2 linked regions of the Arabidopsis thaliana genome follow. The protein of the gene in region 1 interacts with the protein of each later gene in a pairwise test. Each region holds a gene or a part of one and is shown in the gene's direction. Other genes may lie near its edges.

Region 1 (3,757 bases):
CCTCCTTGAAAGAAAAAAACGATTCTCATGATAAAGAATCTGGATTAGTTGGACACGTGTCCTGGTATAGTTGGCTAACAGTGAGCCGTTTCTTTTGGTCCGTCCGTTAGATTCCTTGTGGTCTTTATTGTTTATAGGTCCTAGGCATTTTACATGCTACTGTGTTTCGGAATATCTTTTTGTTAGAGGAATCAAATGTTATTTTGAAAAAATTGAATGCTATTTTAAAATTGAAAGAAATTTGTATTTGGCTAGCAGGAAAAAGCATGGAATAAAGTAGCTTTGCGTACTGGGATCTTTTACATTGGATTATGCGAAAGATCCTTTTTTCTCATTTTGCTAGAGAATTCTTGAGTTTTATTTCATATAATAATATTAAGTATAATTCACCTTTTGAACGATATAAGTTTTGATTAGTAAAAAAAATGGATGAGTAGTGGAATAATTTGCAAGAAATAATGGTGCTACATAAGAATGATCAACCTAGTTTCTTGAAAAGAATATCAACACTGAAATGAACAAAAATATTCATAATACGATAACCAAAACCAACTAAACCATGAAAAGGGCACTTATAAACACAAAGGTTACGTGATTTCTTGAAACTAATGCTCACCGTGAATGTAAATGGACGTTGCGTGTGGTAAAAATAAAGAAAAGACAAAGAGATCTTTTGACCACTTCACTCTTTTAAAATCACATACGTATGTGTCGATTTCTAATACAGCTAGTAGCTTGTGTTAGCAAAATTTAGTATAATTTTTTTCCGGGTAAAATGTTTAGTATAATTTTTTAGTAAAATTTAGCAAAATTTAGTATAATTTTTCTATTCGAAAAGATAAACTAAAGCGAATATGTCCTATACTAGTAAAGATTAATTATTTATACGGCTCTACTAATTTAGTCTAGTTATATGATAGTAGTACAAACTGAAGTACGAATTTATGTATCGTACTACTTGCATAAACGTACATGTGGTTTTGCCTATCTAAGAACATCGTTTAATTAAACCCGATTGTATAGTTTGAATGTTTTATCGGTTTTTAAACGAGTGGTTCGAATTCCATGAAACCGAGATTTCAGTATAGCTCTGTGTTTGAGATACAATAACAAATACATGAATCCATAGCCCATAGGCCATACACGGTTATGCCCATTCGGTATTGTTGGTCTAGCAAAGTTATTTCTGACGATGTGCTACATGTACTATGTGGTACATACCTTTTTTATATTCAACATTTAATCTCATATCATGTTGACTATAAATGTATAACTTTCAAGCTCATAACATTTAGGTTATAAAAAGTCAATATTTGTTGTAGTCTAAATCTTCTTTATTTCAAACGTAATTTTTTACTCCAAAAAAGTGTAACTTATCTACTTTTAATTGTTAAAGTAGGAAAATAAAATTTGATTTTTCTTTAAAAAAGTAGAAAATTGTTAATTTTGTACAAATAAATTTGATCTTTCTTAGTTATAGTTTGATTTTGTTAATTCCTTATTTTTAATTTTTTATCCAATAATTGAGTTGCTTTATTTTATTTTTAGTCTTTCAACAGATTCTTTTTATATTATCTTTAATAAATATTTTAGTGGGATATTTCACAGCCTGAACCACTCCATATGCAGAAAATAGTGTTTGTAAAATATTATAGATTCTTCAGAATCCTCTTTTTAAGACTAATTTGGGAAAATATTAAATACAGGATAACAGGAATATGAGAATCTTGAATGAGAAGAGCACTAAAAACAAAATAAATAACAAGTTTCCCAAAACTGAAAATTGTAATATAATTAATAGCCGAATTAAAAGGAAAAAAATCCTTAAAGAAAAATATAAAAAAAGAGAAGAATAAATATATATAAGTGAGTGTAACGATTCGCCGCGTGTGTACGGGCATCACAAAAAGATTCTTTCTTCCATTTAAAGATAAATCTAATTTTAATATTGACAAAAACACCCTCAAGTCTCCACTTATTTACAGCGGCTACGGTTCACCGCGTCCTTCTTCTTCTTCCCTAATCTCATTTTTTTTTTGTTCTCATTTATCTTCTTCAGCATCTTCATCATCTTCTTCTATATATACCTCTTTAAGCTTGCTTCTCTTTGTCTTTATCTTGTCCGATGGTTCAAACAGAAACCGATCAAAGGATGGGTCTTAATCTGAATTTGTCTATCTACTCTTTACCAAAACCCTTATCTCAATTTCTCGATGAAGTGTCGAGGATCAAAGACAATCATTCCAAACTGTCTGAAATCGATGGTTATGTCGGAAAATTAGAGGAAGAAAGGAACAAAATCGATGTTTTTAAACGAGAACTCCCTTTATGCATGCTCTTATTGAACGAAGGTATCTTTTATTAAAATTCTCTCCTTTTCTTTTTTTTATCTTCTCTAATCGATTCGTGTTTTTGTTTAAAGAGATTGTTTTTCTCTGTGTAGCGATTGGGGCGTTGAAGGATGAGGCTAGAAAAGGGTTATCACTGATGGCATCTAATGGGAAATTCGATGATGTTGAAAGGGCAAAACCGGAAACTGATAAGAAGAGCTGGATGAGCTCTGCCCAGTTATGGATCTCGAACCCTAATTCCCAATTCCGATCGGTACGATCAAAAAGCAACCCTTTTTATGTTTTGTGAAGAATCATATGTTGTGTGATTGATCTTGTTGACCTTATGATCATGTTTTGACAGACAAATGAAGAAGAAGAAGATCGGTGTGTGAGTCAGAACCCATTTCAGACATGTAATTACCCTAATCAAGGAGGGGTATTTATGCCATTTAACCGTCCCCCACCTCCTCCACCACCAGCTCCTCTGTCTCTCATGACTCCAACATCAGAGATGATGATGGATTATAGCAGAATTGAGCAGAGTCATCATCATCATCAATTCAATAAACCTTCTTCACAGAGTCATCACATTCAGAAGAAAGAGCAGAGAAGGAGATGGTCACAGGAACTTCACCGTAAATTTGTTGATGCTCTTCATAGGCTTGGAGGGCCACAAGGTTAGTCCTTAACCTTAGTAAAGGATCAAACTTTGCTTTAGATTTGATTGATTGATTATACTGAGATTGTTTTGTATTGTTGTTGTTGTTGTTGTTGTTGTTGTTGTGAGACAGTTGCTACACCAAAGCAGATTAGAGATTTGATGAAAGTTGATGGTTTAACCAATGATGAAGTCAAGAGCCATTTACAAGTAAAAGTTCTCATCTTTTACAGTAACTTAAACTTTGATGTGTGGATGAATGAATGATTTTGACAGTGCGGTGAAATGAAATTGTTATTGCAGAAATATAGAATGCATATCCGTAAGCATCCGCTGCATCCGACAAAGACTTTGTCATCGTCGGATCAGCCAGGTGTGTTAGAGAGAGAATCGCAGAGCTTAATAAGTTTGTCGAGGTCGGATTCGCCACAAAGCCCACTTGTTGCAAGAGGGTTGTTCAGTAGTAATGTTGGTCATAGCTCAGAGGAAGATGAGGAGGAGGAGGATGAAGAGGAGGAGAAGTCTGATGGACGTAGTAGCTGTAGAAATGATGAAACAAAGAAGAAGAGACAAGTGTTGGATCTTGAGCTTTGAAAGTCTGCATAGTGAATGATATAATCTTTACCAACTTATGTTATATATGCTCAAAACTTTGAGTTTGTTCGGGAGTTTTTGTAGATGTAAACATGAGAGTTGAAATAAGGAAGAGGATTTTGAGCAAAAAGTAGGGTTTGTTTTTGCAAGAGGAAATAGATAGAGAAGAGTG
Region 2 (3,757 bases), about 17 Mb from region 1:
GTTCCTGTAAATGAATGATTAAGTTAAGAAATTTATTCGCTAAATCTATAAATTCATCTGATCAACATTGTTGTCTACGCAATTGTTGTTCATTAAATCTTTACGGTCACAAAAATAACAACCTCATGATATGTTAGAAAAACTTTAATCATACACTTGCAAAAAAAAGTGAAGCAAAATCTACCATAAATATGCAATTGTGCAGTGGTCTTCTCCTCTTAATTTTGTTTGAAGTACGTATATTCGAAACTTTATTTCGATTATAATTTTTCGTACGATTCTTTATAAGTAAAGCAAAATAATGATGGATTGAAGAATCTTGAAAATGGAAAGAAATGGACGAGAGGCTTTTGACCATTTGTATGGCCAGAATAACAACACTCACTACCAAATACAATAACGTGATTTTGTTTAATAGATTAGATGCGGTAGGAATATATTATTCTTCGTGAACTAAAACCATGTTTTATAACGACAAAAAAAAACCCATGTTTTATAAGTTTATGGGCCAAAATTGGGCTTTTGTATTATAAACATGTTTACGGAAGTATTCAGCTAAGTATATATAAAAAAAAACAATTACACTAATTTATTTAAATTTTATTATTACCTACTTACAATTAGTAAAATTTAAAATTAACAAAAAAAAAACTTTTACTTACTTTTAGTTATTGTTTTAAGAAAAAACATCATTAATTACCCTACTTTTTTTTTTAATACTAGGAGGTTCTAAGCCAAAACATCTTAATTATTATATTGTTTATATGTCTAATAATATCCATAAATGTATTAAAAAAACTTAAAACATAAACTAAAGGGTAATAGATCATAATATTATTGAATGGAGTAAGAAAATGTATAAATTATAATTCAAAAAGAGAACTATAATCTGCTTTTCTACCCAAATGAAGTAAAATAAGACATCAATTTGCATTTCAATGGTCAGTTTTAAAGGTAAAATTAAAGACGTTAAACACGTGTAATGTAAAAGAGATCACTCATGAGTCATGACCAACCATATTCTTAGTTTATATAAGTAATTCACACCCCTTAAAAAGAAATATAGTCTATAATCAATCATACTTAGCATGAAAACGATGATCAAGTTTCTGCTGTTAATACTGGTGATCTCTCCTATGTCGATATGCGCCGAGAAGGACATGATGATAAATGAATGCCACAATGCAGACGTCCCAGCCATATGCATGCAATGTCTTGAATCCGACCCAAACTCCATTCACGCCGACCATATAGGCATAGCTGGCATCGTCATAAACTGTCTTGAATCCCACCTCCATATCATCACCAAGCAAGTTTTCACTTACAAATTATAACCAATATACAGAAATATCCTCTAATATATCAATTTTTTCATTTGTGTAGTAACATAACGAATTTATCGTCAAAGAAAGATAAAGGTGAAGTGAAAACAGCTCTGGAGATTTGCAAAAAAGACTTGTCGACGAATGCATCTACAATACTGTCGGAAGCCAAAACAAGTTTGAAAACCGGTGATTATGATAAAACCAACAAATCGATAAAGCTTGCGCTTGGCTTTCCTCTGAGATGTATGTTCAATCTCAAACGTGTCAAGTTCACGTCTCCCCAACTATTTAGTCAAATCAATATCTATGCTCAACTCTCTGACGCTGCTATGAGGATCATTGATCGCTTCTAATAAGTAATAACTCCTTATTGTTTTCTATATAACTCAACTTCGATCAATGCTTACCCCAATTTGAATAAATCATTTCCTTTATGAAATTTATAAAGTCACATATATCCATTTGTTGTAGCTCTCATGTTTTTTTTTTCTTTTCAAATTTGTCAAAATAAGTTTTCGTTTGAACCATCATTCAATATAAATCTAAATGATATATTGTCTTTTTTTTTTTTTTTTTTTTGGCAAAGAATGATATATTGTCTATTTCATCAAAGTTGGACCACTATACGATAAATTGTTGTTCTTATAACGTTAAAGTAGGAAAACAGTTCAGTTTTCACGTGACTAACTTACTACTATTGGAATATTTATCATAAACTTTAATTCACGAAAATCATTAATGAAAATTTGATATTACTACTATAATATCGTCTTCTCTATTAATTTAGAATCTTATTCATCCTTTTCCACTTGTCTTCTCTAACCCTCTAAATTCTCTTTGGTCGGGATCACTGGAAAGAAATGTATAATCTCACTTTCTCTCCATCATTGTCCTCTTCTTTGCTCTCTTTTACACAACAAACTCCTGCAGCCATAGTGTCCTCTTCTCCTCCGGATTTAGTACTTCAACAAAAACTCCGGTTTGTCGTGGAAACCTCACCGGACCGATGGGCTTATGTCATTTTTTGGCAAAAGATGTTTGATGATCAATCGGACCGGTCTTACTTGGTTTGGGTTGATGGTCATTTCTGTGGAAACAAGAACAACAATTCCCAAGAAAATGTTCATTTTTCTTTGCCTCTTATGTTATCTAATCAAAATATCCAAAATTTATTTAAATCAACTTCTTAAAAAAGTTCTATTAAGAAAATAATATAATTTTCCTTACCCTTGATTTTTTGTTTTTGTTTCTTTCTTAAGTATACAACAAACAGCATCGAGTGTGAGCTGATGATGGACGGTGGAGATGATCTGGAGTTGTTCTATGCCGCATCGTTTTACGGTGAAGATAGATCGCCGAGAAAGGAAGTATCCGATGAATCTTTGGTTTGGTTAACCGGTCCCGACGAGCTCCGGTTTAGCAACTACGAGAGGGCTAAAGAAGCCGGTTTTCACGGGGTACACACATTGGTCTCCATACCCATCAACAATGGCATTATCGAACTTGGTTCGTCTGAATCAATTATACAAAACCGGAACTTTATAAACCGAGTCAAGTCCATATTCGGGTCGGGTAAAACAACAAAACACACTAACCAAACCGGTTCTTACCCTAAACCGGCGGTATCAGATCATTCGAAAAGCGGAAATCAGCAATTCGGGTCGGAAAGAAAACGGAGGAGGAAACTTGAGACGACAAGGGTAGCTGCGGCGACGAAAGAGAAACATCATCCGGCGGTTTTGTCCCACGTGGAAGCGGAGAAGCAACGGAGAGAGAAGCTAAACCACCGGTTTTACGCTCTACGTGCCATCGTACCAAAAGTGTCACGAATGGACAAAGCGTCACTTTTATCCGACGCAGTTTCGTACATAGAAAGTCTTAAATCCAAAATCGATGATCTCGAAACTGAGATCAAGAAAATGAAGATGACGGAGACAGATAAATTAGACAACAGCAGCAGCAATACGTCTCCGTCTTCCGTTGAGTACCAAGTTAACCAGAAACCTTCAAAATCAAACAGAGGCTCTGACTTGGAAGTGCAAGTGAAGATCGTCGGAGAAGAAGCCATAATTAGGGTTCAGACAGAGAATGTGAACCATCCTACGTCGGCATTGATGAGTGCGTTAATGGAAATGGATTGTCGTGTACAACACGCGAACGCGTCGCGCTTGAGTCAGGTTATGGTTCAAGATGTTGTTGTTTTGGTTCCAGAAGGATTAAGATCGGAAGATAGGCTTAGGACCACACTTGTCCGAACCCTAAGCCTATAACAATTTCTTTGTTTTGTGACGTCAACATAGGATGTGATAATAATTTTTGTTTTTTTTTGCGACCTTTTGTTTTATTTGATAAGTACTAGAAAAATCAAATTCCTTCTAGCGATTAATGTTGTTTTATCAAAAGTTTGATCTCGTTGATACGTAGTTTATGTG

Evidence for each region. Proteins that work in one complex are often made in the same cells at the same time.
Region 2: the proteins of AT4G37180 (region 1) and AT4G00870 interact in a two-hybrid assay, tested with the Arabidopsis thaliana proteins (one large-scale study listed by BioGRID).

Annotation. Positions count from the first base shown.
Region 1 is NC_003075.7:17,502,523-17,506,279, forward strand, and holds the start of AT4G37180 (Homeodomain-like superfamily protein), read left to right. Parts: upstream 1-2,041; 5' UTR 2,042-2,125; coding exon 2,126-2,351; intron 2,352-2,422; coding exon 2,423-2,604; intron 2,605-2,694; coding exon 2,695-3,010; intron 3,011-3,124; coding exon 3,125-3,201; coding exon of another isoform or gene 3,202-3,258; exon of another isoform or gene 3,259-3,294; coding exon 3,295-3,585; 3' UTR 3,586-3,757.
Region 2 is NC_003075.7:362,068-365,824, reverse strand, and holds the start of AT4G00870 (basic helix-loop-helix (bHLH) DNA-binding superfamily protein), read left to right. Parts: upstream 1-2,115; 5' UTR 2,116-2,185; coding exon 2,186-2,446; intron 2,447-2,584; coding exon 2,585-3,595; 3' UTR 3,596-3,757. Other genes in the region: AT4G00872 (Plant invertase/pectin methylesterase inhibitor superfamily protein), read left to right, coding at 1,089-1,309, 1,384-1,678.